2 linked regions of the Neodiprion lecontei genome follow. The protein of the gene in region 2 purifies or fractionates together with the protein of the main gene of each other region. This does not show direct contact. Links are inferred from orthologs where the notes say so. Each region holds a gene or a part of one and is shown on either strand. Other genes may lie near its edges.

What was found.
Region 1: the proteins of RAD50-interacting protein 1 (region 2) and vesicle transport protein SEC20 purify together in Homo sapiens (co-immunoprecipitation; 3 studies listed by BioGRID and IntAct, counting the BioPlex papers as one, with this or other methods). This does not show direct contact. The link is inferred for Neodiprion lecontei from reciprocal best matches to the Homo sapiens genes RINT1 and BNIP1.

What each region holds. Positions count from the first base shown.
Region 1 is NC_060260.1:13,380,332-13,386,694, reverse strand, and holds vesicle transport protein SEC20, read left to right. Parts: upstream 1-2,004; 5' UTR 2,005-2,267; coding exon 2,268-2,351; intron 2,352-3,324; coding exon 3,325-3,739; intron 3,740-5,161; coding exon 5,162-5,349; 3' UTR 5,350-5,853; downstream 5,854-6,363. Other genes in the region: Kv channel-interacting protein 4, read right to left, coding at 5,904-5,951, 6,080-6,278. UniProt on the Homo sapiens protein: As part of a SNARE complex may be involved in endoplasmic reticulum membranes fusion and be required for the maintenance of endoplasmic reticulum organization. Also plays a role in apoptosis.
Region 2 is NC_060264.1:28,622,714-28,629,002, forward strand, and holds RAD50-interacting protein 1, read right to left. Parts: upstream 4,701-6,289; 5' UTR 4,557-4,700; intron 4,474-4,556; exon of another isoform or gene 4,382-4,473; 5' UTR 4,337-4,381; coding exon 4,208-4,336; intron 4,075-4,207; coding exon 3,836-4,074; intron 3,703-3,835; coding exon 3,529-3,702; intron 3,366-3,528; coding exon 3,231-3,365; intron 3,136-3,230; coding exon 2,874-3,135; intron 2,756-2,873; coding exon 2,530-2,755; intron 2,328-2,529; coding exon 2,162-2,327; intron 2,089-2,161; coding exon 1,923-2,088; intron 1,843-1,922; coding exon 1,622-1,842; intron 1,547-1,621; coding exon 1,381-1,546; intron 1,286-1,380; coding exon 1,152-1,285; intron 875-1,151; coding exon 697-874; 3' UTR 526-696; downstream 1-525. Other genes in the region: glucose dehydrogenase [FAD, quinone]-like, read left to right, coding at 4,904-4,975, 5,152-5,351, 5,521-5,632, 5,710-5,844, 5,937-6,049, 6,172-6,289. UniProt on the Homo sapiens protein: Involved in regulation of membrane traffic between the Golgi and the endoplasmic reticulum (ER); the function is proposed to depend on its association in the NRZ complex which is believed to play a role in SNARE assembly at the ER.

The DNA.
Region 1 (6,363 bases), on a different chromosome or scaffold from region 2:
AAAGATACGGTATTTAAGAAATCATTATACGTTAAACAAAACTCTATTTATCCAATCAATGAAATATTTTGCCAAATTTTATGCTTTTTGTGATATATAGAACTGGATATAATGGATAATTTTTTTTTTTTTTTTTTATAGACCGAAATTTTGTCGCTACAACGGGAAATTTTTCTTTATGGATTATCTCGATGCCCACATTGGACTGAAATGATTTTGTAATTATTCACCAACTATCACTTAACGTCATAATATATTTCTGTATAATACAAATACAGTATTGCTAGATAGAAGTAGCTAATGCGGTAGAGAGACAGGAAATTGTCTTGTAACCGGCATAATATAATATTTGGGAAGCTAAAGTACAAGTTACGGGTAAAGAAGAACTTCCAACACTGCATCTGTTTTATTTCTGTAATACATAGTTGCATTTGAATGACTTATAATTTAACTCTGTTATGTACATGTATGTTCCATTCCTGTACGATTTGGAGCGAATGCTACCGTTTCATATTGCTCCTTGGTAGGGAAGTCCCAGTCTGCACGTTATAAGTTATATTTATTGTTATTATTTGTAGTGAAATAATTATTGAAATGGCATCGTTAAATATGCAACTTGACATATATTATACTATATACGCAATCTTATTTCTATTTCTCAGTTCTATTAATTATGTTAACTAGAGTGTATTATTTTAATATTTATACGTTTATCATACAGAATGGTATGACGAACCTGCTCAATTTCAGCATTCGTATGATGTTATGTAACCAGGTGCCACTTTTACGTATTATATATAAAAAAAAATGCTTGCCTTCGAAACCAGTTTCATTTTCATCAAAATTAAAACCCTTACACGAGTTCTGGGGTAAACTGTATCAGCTTTATGGAGGGACAGATTCTCGTTCGATTAAATACGCGTATTGCTCGATTCCAGCTATCTCTTAGTTTTTCTCATTGGAAAAATAACCGCCGAAAACAAACAAGCTTGAGTCCGCTTTCAGTAAGTATAAACCGATTACGGTGAAAAATATTATATCGTTCTTATATTCTAAGAAGATATTTTTTCGGGCTTTTCTCTACGATAAAATGCGGTTTATGATACAGACTTATGTATCATGCGTCCATATAATAGATGTGATGCACGAGTGGAAGTATTATTTATTAATAATTTTGTCGTACGTGCAGTGCAGGGGACACTTTCTTGCTGCGGAATAAAATGCGTGACCGATTTAACTCTACCTTCTAAAATTGGGCGGTATTAAAATTGGCTAAAACGAGCGGTATGAACTACCGGCGAACAATTTTCATGATCAATTCAGAACTTCAACGTCAGAGAATGATAAATTAGCAACAGGAAGTATTAGATTGACATGAAATAGCGTTAGACTAAGACCGAAAAATATTGTATAGAAGTCAACACCGCATTTTTCTTACGTTGTTCGCATTTATGGGTCACGTAACATTAACTACATGATGTAAGCTGATTACCCAATACTTTTACGGGACAAGCGTAAGAAACCAAAAAAATGTTGGAAGAAAATACGGTATCATGAAAATTCGATTGATTTTTACCGTCGTATCCAGAGAGGAACTACTCTTTGTATGGTGCTTACTTCATTGCTACGAAAAGACGATAAATCTATGCAGGTGAAACCAAGCAAAGTTACATCATGCCTTTAACTTTTTATGATAGCGTGCTGAAAATGAAAGCAAATGATAGTGATCATGAATTTGACTAGGATCAATAATTAATTAGGATTCGACGGAATGAATTTCAAACTTGGCGAATCCTATGAACGCAATGACTGCAGACGTTACATTAAAATTATCGAGAGGGCGCTAGTTCCCGAGACATTTTATCGTGAATCTAACAAGTGTCGGTATTGCAGAATTCTTGACGCGTTAATGGGTAAGCAAATAGTTTTCGTTAGTCAAATTTTTCCCAGATGGCACTGCAGGCAGGAGTGACATGTAACGCCAATGCTAACTCATCGGAACTAGAAGAGCAAAGTTGTATTCTGCTAGCTCGAAATTTATGTAGCACCGTTTTTGTTTTTGTCAGTGTAACACAACCTCAAACGTTGAAAATCTCTAGGATATAGAGAGGTGGTGTGAAGAGTTCCGTACTTGTGCCGGTTCTTAAAATCTTATAATCATCGGGGCTTATGAATTTTTCCGGTAAATCTGCTGAGAAATTTCCGGATATCTGTCACCTGGTAACGAGTGAATTAATTTTTTGAGTCATTCGCCGTACATAATTTACATGATGAATTCTGAGGAACATTTGCTGGACTTGGTGCGACAGGAAATTGTCAATAACAATCTACAAGTGAAAGCTATTATTCAGGTAACTCCATCAGCGTTGAAAAAATTTTACTTGAATTATATGCGAAAATGGTGGAATACGAATTTTGAAGAGCTGGTGGCCGTACTGGTACTTTAAAAAACGGAGAATTTGACGGGTAGGGTAGCACATGTCACAGAACAAGTTTGACTCGTAGACTTGATCGGTACAGAAGTTTCCTATCATTACCGATTTGATCAGCATTGTAATTTCCATTGATAATTCCATGGACGAGTCGGTTATTTTCCACCAAAAACGATAATTGCGAAAGTTATGCGCAATTTAGTTCCATTTCTTTGATACATGTCTACCGATATTGTGTACTTGAGTAAGGATGATTTCTCACCGTACCCTTTTCCAACTTGTTGAAATTGCTTTAACTTTTCTTCAAATGGACAACAAAAATAAGCTGTCGAATTATTTTCCCTCGACTACTAAAATATAAAATGTAAAAAATTTATGCAACTTCTGCATTATGACCAATGCAGATGCAAATTGTTAAAGAGTTGAATAACCGATCAAAATCAATTTTATGTTTTCAAGGAAGGGCTATAACGTATGATATTACATTAATTTGAAGTATTCAAACTAAGATTGGCAAATTTCGACGCCCATTACTTCTCATAGATACATTTGCAGGATGGGCGACCCTCCCCCCCCCCCCCCCCCCCTTAAATTTTTTATTAATATACCGGCCCGTACATCTTACCATACATACATACATACACGTTAACCCGCGTTATCAGGACTGTGCGATTCATCAATTAATTGTAAACTTCGATTATTATCATTTTCTCCATTAATCACTTAATATGCTCTTTCAATTAATTGCTTTATTGATTAATCGTTTCCAGCTTAATCGAATTCTATCCTTATTAAATTATCTATCTAATTAATAATATATTTTGCATGAAACTAATTCAACGTAGTTGATTTAACTATTCATATGTATCCAATCGCAACTACCTGATTTCAGGATATTCAAAATTGCACCGAATCGACAGAGTTATTGAACGAGCTAAATGCAAAAGGCAGAGCAAAAATAGCGGCCCTGCGATCAAGTATTGAGCGTTTGGAGAGCTTAGCGTTCCAAGAACGCAGCGATAAACGGAAATTGGAGATTTATTCAGAAATAGAGAGTCATAAAAGTCAGTTGACTATTACCTTAGCCGCCTTTCGAAACGCTAATGTTGTCAGTGCCTGTGTTATCGACAGAATGGCTAAGGATGAATTATTGGGGATGCCCGACGGACATCAGAGTGCATTACGAAAACGGCGAGATAAACAAGCACTGATAAATATGTCAGGCGGCGTTACCGACAAGTTGTTAGGCATCTCTAGGCATCTGGCGGAAACCACTCAAAAAAGCGCTTACACCTTAGACACCCTAAGTACGTACTTTATACCTTATATTTCACCCCTTATTCTCTGATATACGTTAGTTTTATCACAGGATTCAGTCAGCTTGACAAAAATTTGTAATTAAAAACTTATAACCAACATTTTTTTACCAATATTTTGGATGAGACTCGCAAGGTAAACTAGGTATTCTATACATATATATATATACAATATGTGTATATATATATACACACACGTTAAAATTACTCTGTAATCAGCGCAACATTATTATTTTATTACTGGCATCATTATTTCTTTATAACAATTTCGTAATTGCGTTCGTTGTTCATCAAAAAGATGTTCTGCAATTAAATAATATTTTCAAAAAGCCAATATGTGATCTGAAATTCAAATACAAGAAGCCAATCTAGAAATGGTTTATTGTTGCATTCATTTTCCGTAAGAAATAATTCAGTGCGTATTTTTATTGCATAATCTGATATACATATACAGAGTATTTCCAAGTAAACGGCGGAGTATGTTGAGTTGCTTGTCGCTGAGGGGAACAAATATCGGTACGAGTCATCGGTAGGTAGCACGTTTAAAGTCCTCGCGAGTGAGCTGGAACTGCCCATATTGCCAAGTTGTGTGGATTTGGCCAAGCAGTTGTTCCGTGGTTTGTAACCTATGCCGAAGCGGTCAGTGATCGCCTTCCGAAGCCACGTTAAAGTGATTATATGACTTGATTTGACTAAAGTGATAGCGAGTCGGCAGGTCTGTTTTACCGATATTCGTTCCCCTCGGTAGTAGGCAACCCAACATACTGCACCGTTTACTTGAAAACACCCTGTATATCTGAATAAAATAAGTATTTACTAGATTACCAGACGATGAATAACTTCAACAATGTAATAAATACAATGTATTGAGGAAATCTAAAGTTTCAGCCGACGCTTCAAGCTTTACCGTATCGTCGATCGATACAAAGACCGTTGTATTCAATTTTCCACTTTTGGACTATTATTTGCTCCGTTCCCATCTTTAGAGAACCTTTACGATAGAAAATAGATTGAATTTGCGGTGTAGGAGGTTGACAATTTATTTATTTTCGCAACGGAAACAGTATTCATCAGAAAAATCAACGCAAATAATTTTTGCGTAACGTTAACGTAACGAAATAGTGAAATATGAAAAATTATATTTTGCTTGTTAAAAATTATCTTGTCCCTGTAAGAGGTCGTAGTTGTAAACTGATACGTTTATCTTTAAATTTATGTTATTTATAGTATTGGCCGTATTTTTAATCATTGTAAACTTGCGAAATAAGGATTTTTCGAAAATATTTTTTTGTACTAACGTTACGAACTCGAACCTGTAAAATCACATTTATGTAGGTAAAACGTATAGTGTGGAAATTACTGGTATTTACACATTAGCGTATTAATTACACATTGTCATGTATTTCCTTGCAGTTACGTCGTCGGAGAAAGTGACCGGGACGAAAGATGAGCTTGAACATCAGCAGCAGGTAATTGTGCAGTCTGGAAAGCTCCTGGGAAAATACGGTCGGCGCGAACTTACCGATAAAGCGTTGCTAGTTCTAGCATTTGCATTTTTCTTAGCCTGCGTATTTTACATTCTTCAGAAACGATTGCTCTGATTACACAGCAGAGAAATGCAATAAAGCTCATTGGTTTTTACTTGTAACTGAAACTATATACACCCGGCCTTCTGTAATCCGTGCTCAGAGAACTGAAAAAACTGTATCATTCGAAGCGCTGAATAGTTTTGTGTACAGCTTGTACATTTTCGGGCAAATGTTTTTATCACCGAAACTGACGTAAGTTCGCGATGAGTGCTGTGGTTGTAGGAAAATTGCATATTACGAGTTTGGCGTTGAAGTACTTTAATCAACCAGTTTTACAATCATACTTCAATATTAAAAATAATATTGAAAACGTTTCATAGAATAAAAATTCTGTCACTGAACATTCCAATGCAATTTGCACGTTAACGGAGAAACGTATAATGTACGTGACAGTGCACTGTGGTTAATGTTACAGCATCAATTCTAGTATATTATGTATCTAATATTTATACGTGCAGTATCCAGGTTGTAAACCCGGTGTTAAGTGAATAAATATATTTTATAGCAATCTGCAAACGAGAATCGAGTACATTATTGCATATTAAACAAACGTCTCATCGATGATGTTACCAAAGATCGTCGAAGACCGTCAGCTGCGTGCATATACTTTGGTCCTGAAACGATTATACACGTGAGATAATTGAGTTCGATATAAATGTCGGTGATCCATGGATAGATAATAATACGAGTTTGTTTTTGATTTTGATGGAAAGTTACTGCAACTCTGCTTGTAATAACGTACATTCATACATGACGTCATAAACTCCTCCCGAGATATCACGCCATCCTTGTTCAGATCCATTTTCTCAAAAAGTCTATCAACGTGTCTGTTCACCGCGCGTTGTATAGTTTGACTTGTTCGCACCATCTCGTAAATCGCCGATACTATGAACAACATTTCGTGCCTCGTTATGTGACCATCGCCGTTCATGTCGTACAATCTGTAACGTAAAAAAAATGAACCAACATCGGATCGCAATACCAGTCGTTAAAGAGTCACGCTTAAGCACCCAGCACGTGGTACTC
Region 2 (6,289 bases):
TAACGAACCTACAAAAAGACAACGGGATGATCCAGCGTTTCCTAGTTATTTTAAAAAATTACGCTGCTACAAGGGAAAAAAGAGTGATGTGGTTGACTGTGACTGACGAAACTTATCTGCTAAAAATTTGTTTACACAATTGTTCGTACTTAAAAAACACCACATGCCAAAATTATTCTCTGCCTTTTTATTGATGGTATGAAGTGTTCTGATAGTTTAGAAAAGACTGCAAATATTTAGTTTAAAATCAAGACAATGTATTATGAATTCGCAAAAAAAATTGCATTACTCTATATTTTAGATATTAGAGTGCAATTTTACTATTAGTTGATTCCATATGCGTGAGAGTCGTTTTTGATTTGGAATCTTGCGAACATATTGATTAAATTTGCGGCATACGACTTGCTATTCGAATGACAGAGAGAAAGCTTGATTGTCGTGTGGTCCGAAGTCGTACTATTGTTTGAATACGTTTACTTATGGATAATTGTATTATTTAATAATAGAAAGAAAAAAAAATGTATCTACGCAGAACTTGTTTTATTTTTTTAATGTTTAATATTCATATATAAAAGAAAAATTTTCAAGTTAAATCGCAATTATATTATTGTATACCCAAGGTGTGAGAATATCTAGGCTAAGCTTATTTTTCTTTATCTATTTACAGTGGAAAATTTATTTTCTCCATTTCGTTAGTTATTGCGAACTTATATCAGTTCTGTTTCGTAGTACTGTTATTGCTATGTCTTCTGTCATTTTATAAATTCCAACATCCGCTAGTACTTCAGCTGTATCTTCGTTACCCTCCAATGCTTCTAACAAGAGCATCGCTGAACCTAAAGCCATGTTTAAAAGAATCGTGGCCTCCTTGATCCTGTGCAATATTCATAAATTAATACAATCACAGAATAATACTAGCGCAAATAATAGATTAATAGATCAAAGATTGATGTTTGAAAAAAGTTCAAGTTAAGAATAAGTTTCAAAATAAGAATCTCTACCTTGGCGATTACAGACTATGTAGCTCGCACTTTCAGTATTTCATGGGGATTAAGATTATTAGGCTATTCGGGTCGTTAGCACGTACATCATTACTACAATCTACTGTTTTGGTTTCCGGACATAACTATTGATGGTTTGAGTATACTTACAGCGGAAAGTAAGCTTCTGGCTTGTTTGTATACAAACCAAAGAGCGGAAGGAGATTTCTGACAATATCATATTGTAATTGAGCAGCTCCCCCAGAGTTGAATTGATTGACCACAGCAATCTCCTCTAGCAAATACTGAAGAAAGAAAATGTCGATTACGTTAATCAATTTTGTCATCTTATAGAAAAATCGTGCACAATGTAGCATAATAAGCTAGGTTTGTAACCTACTTGATCGAGTTGCGCCGCAAGATTCTTCCAAGTCTTGTTAAACAACGGTAGTGCAAGAATGTCTTGAAGTGTGTTAAGACGAGCAGCCAGCTCTTGAAACATGGGACAACCACTCGGGGTTACGGATAACGACGCCAATTCTTTTTCTGATTGCATTGCAAACCATCTACAATCAGTAACTAGGATTAGATATTCAGGGTCAAAAACTTTTATTGTTGCAAGTTGATGTATTTGATATTACTTGTCAGTTCTGTACGGTCTGCTTTTAGCTTTCACATCCAGTGCCACAGAGTTGCTTATTTCGTTCACCAACTCGCGTTCCAACCTTTGTAGTAATGCGAGAGCTTCGTCGAATACAGAATCATCTTCGTCCCCAGGATTTTCAGAAGTTTCAGCCAATTTCTCTACAGACAATTCTGTTACATCTGATTGTTTTTTGAAATAGTGAAGCTGCAAGAAGTGCTGAGAACAGAAAAACAAAACTCAAGGTATTTTACTTGTCTGTTCTTGCACCGCTTGTTGCTTTTCACTTCTTCACTTACAACAGTGGCACCCCATTCTTTGAGAACACTAGATACATAGTGCAGTGTATTCAAAATTCGAGGCATGATAGAAGTCAGCGGATCTTCATAATCCTCGTGCAGCAATTGCAGCAATCGAACACGCCAATCGTCCACCAGTTCTAGCTGTAGTTCGAGAAATTGTAACCTATTGGGTGAAAAAATTGATGGATTGTTAAGGAGGATGTAACAAAGCAAGAAAGTTGATATTTATGACTCACCTGTGACCAGGTTGTGGCAGATGACTATATCTATCAGTGATAGTCATTAGAAGAGTGAGAAAAGCTTCCGCACACTCCGTTACTTTCATGTCGTCTATATCTGTACCCATTAATCTTTCCCATGCGGTCTCAGAGCTCAAAATAGCGTCCATTTTTTCCGTTGCATCTGCAATATAATATTCAAGTCACAATATACGTAATATTTAATTTTTAACACACTTTAGACATCTTGCAAGTCGATTCGTTTACACGAAAGTTACCCTGATTCAAATAATAGTACATTAAGAATTCGTTTTACATACTCCATGGAATATAAAAACGTCTAAGAGTAGAAAAATATTGCTCATTGTCGCTAGAGAAATGCTTACATTTCTTCTCCATATTAACCCATTTGACAAAAATCTGTGCTTGAGTTAGTACAAAAACGGTGGCTGGTTGACTAGCTGGATATAACAACGTGTCTCTTAACTCTCTTTCAAAGCCTAGAGCCTCGTCGATTAGATGTGCGAAGAGAGCATCGTCGTACTGCATGTTGGGTAATTCGGAATATAACTTTTCCACAGCAAGTTGGACCAGCCCTCGCATGAATTCGACCTGGATAAATTATTTATGAAAATGGAACAAAGAGAAAATTAACTGTGAGTTTTTTTTCTCACGAGAATCTAGCCTTTGTTTTGTTATTTAAACACATTTGAAGCGAACTTCTAAATACCTTAGCATTGATGTGATCAAGTCCCAAAGAATTTGCGATTGGTTGAACATTCATCCTCACCCATTCGGTGTGATCTCTGATCCATGTAAGTATCTGAGTGAAAAACCACTCAGGTTTGTCCAAACGGTTAGTTTGTTTTGCACCTGTGAAATGGTATATGAATCTACGTCTAAGGGGACGAATCAGCAGTAAGATTGGCAAGCTCACTGGTATAAAATCGGTTAGAAGCGACGAGGTAACCGCAGGTTTCGCTGTTTCTTCTCTATCCGTCAATCTGAGTTAAGGATCAATTTCAGAGTTCATAGGGAAGTTACATGATTTCGAGCTACATCAATTAATTCTTGATGCAAAGGATACGGTAGCTGCAGTTGCAGCAAGTATTCCGTAACTGTGCTGAACCTTGCCATTGCATCTAGCGAAGGAGTAGTCGACAAATTCAAATTGCTGCCACAAAATGGCCATTTCAGTGCCTTCAGAATTTCGTTGTATTCTCTGTAAAATTTCAAGGATTGTAGAAAAGTAAATACCAGGGAGCTGTGTTACCTTGATCGAATAATCGATGATGATTTTGCCTCGATTTTTTTGACCAAGGTAAACATTTAATAATAATAGGTATTCGTGCTGTTTATTCAAACAATAGCTCGCCTGTACTTACGCTGTAAATTTATCTTTGAGATAATTATGCCAAAAGTGGAGAGTGTCGTGTAGATAAGTTACAAGATGATGACAAGTGGACGATTGTAATTGTGAATTTCTTTCCGTCAAGTTAGCGTACAGAGTTATCGTCAGCTTGTCATCCTTTGCTAATAGAGAACCCTCTATTTCATCACTGTAAAATCAATGATTTTTTCAGTTAGTCGACTGTATAAAGTACAAGAATTTGGAAAAGTTGTATTAGTTTATCGAACGTCGAGTATTTTCTCATCGAGTCAGAGTGTTAAAGCTAAAGTATTGTTTTGTACCATATATCCTCGATGGATTTGACCAAGTACAAGTACGACAACGCTCTTTGTAGCTCTTCTATTTTATCAACATTTTCTCGAATCCCATCAATTTTGGAATCCTGCTGAAGCTGTTCAATGAGAACTTGTTCCAAATCATTGCTGATTTTTACCAATTCTTCTATTTCATTGTTTATCTTATCAACTCCTTCTATAGCTGCTTTAACCTTTGACGGAGCCTCCGTTGATGCCAGCGACAGCTTACACATGGCAAAAAAATAAATGAGAATATTAATCAGATATAATTAAATATGTAGCATTTTCTGTTGAATGATTATTTTTTGAATGATTTCGTGAATGAATATTGAAGTAAGATACTCAATTTTGACTCACCGATTTTTCGATGTTATTTCTCTCGTGTTGTAACCGCTCGTGTAGTTGAGGAATTTTTCCAAGGTTTTTTAAATCCGAACCCAATTCGGCGTTGAATTCTTGTATGACTTTGACCTTGATTGGATCCATGATTCTTATCCCAATTATTATCACGTATCATAGCTCGAACTTTGGCTGAAAACGGTATAATTTAGCTTTCGAAAATACCAAGTTACGGTATGTTCGACATATTGGCTTCGTTGACGTTTCACGCATCAGCGAAACATAACCTAACATAACCTAACCTCTGAACTTGAGTTTCATTCTACGTGTAATTAACCTAACCTAACCTAACATAACATAATCTAACCTCCAAATTTACATTCCGACCTATGCCTAATTTAACTTGAAATTTTGCGCTTCATCCAAATCCGTCGAATATCGATGATTAGTTCACATTGTTTTATACAGTTTTATTAAGCACCTTAAATGATGCGATGCAAATTTACTTTTAAAAATTTCACTCACGGTGACAGTTTTTAGGACATGCGTGCAAAGATTGGAGCCAATTATAACATATATTTACAGTTTATGGCGAGAGAGCATTGAACTGTTTTGACACTTGTTTTTTCGAAATGATTTTCATACTCAAGTACTCCGTTTTTATTATTTACGGAATTTTGATATTTTTTTTTGTAAATTATCTCAAATTTGCAGATATTTATGATAAATACTTCAACTGGTCCTACAATGATATGGAGAATTCAAAACTCTATGATTATGTTATCGGTAAGTTCTTTCTTTCTGCTGTTTCAATCAGAAAGGAATTCTGAAAACATTTATTTAGTTTCTTAGTTTACACAGAATATCTCCTCTTTTATTTATCACAATTTGATTATCCGTCCTCCCAGAGCTCGAGTTCTTTTGCCATATGCATTATTCCAACGATTCTTTAAACATTTCAGTCGGTGCTGGCAGTGCTGGGTCTGTAATAGCTGCCAGATTGTCCAAAGCTGGGGAGAAAACTTTGCTATTGGAAGCAGGTGGTGCAGTTCCTCCATTCTTGAATATCCCTGTACTAACTCCGTTATTGCAACAGTCTGTCTTTGACTGGCAGCATGTGACCGTTCCACAAAAACATGCTTGCAAAGGACTAATCAATAATGTACTCTTCCTTCAGTCGTGGTCAATTGATTCTTTCTCCTCTTCTCCTCGGAATACTTTATTCTGACACTTGGTTTACTTGTTATATATCATTCGATTCTTAAATATCGTGTTCAGAATTGTCAGAATATTTGTTAATTAAATATTGGATACATGGAATTATATTACAGCAAAGCAAGTGGCCGATGGGAAAAATCTTAGGAGGATCGGGTAGACTAAATTATATGGCTTACGTTCGTGGTCACATCGCTGATTACACTAATTGGTGCCCCGATCTTGAGGGTAAAAACTTATCACTGTGACTTTATTTTACGTGAAAAATAATTAAATAATCCTGATGAACTTTTCAATCACCGCAGAGTCCGTAGACAAAGAAACCAGTTCTTTGAATGTACATTGTGATAATTGGTATACTGATTTGTCGGACGCTATATTGAACGGAGCTGCAGAACTGGGACAAAACGTTGGAAATATAAACAGAGATCTAAACATTGGTTAGAACCGTTGAATACTAAAGAAAACAGAAAAGAAAATGGTGCTTATTCTACTTACTGGTTGCTTTTTTTTTTCTTCATCTTTAAATCAGGATTCATGAAAGTGGAATTGACCTCAAAGGATGGAGAGAGATGGAGTACCGACAGATTGTTACACAGGGATATTGAAAAATTAACTGTCATCGCTAATGCTCATGTTAATAAGGTGATGAGACACCATTTACATCAAACTAAAAAGTATCTTTGAACAGTTGATAGCCATTTTGCTCAATGTCAACATCCTAATCATCGATATCGCATGTAATCATTTAAATTTCATTCCTAAAGGTTTTATTGAAAGAAAAGAAAGCCGTTGGAGTTGAATTTGAGAAACTGGGTACTCAGCTAAAAGCCTTCGCCACAAAGGGGGTCATACTCTGCGCAGGAGCAGTTGGCACTCCAAAGC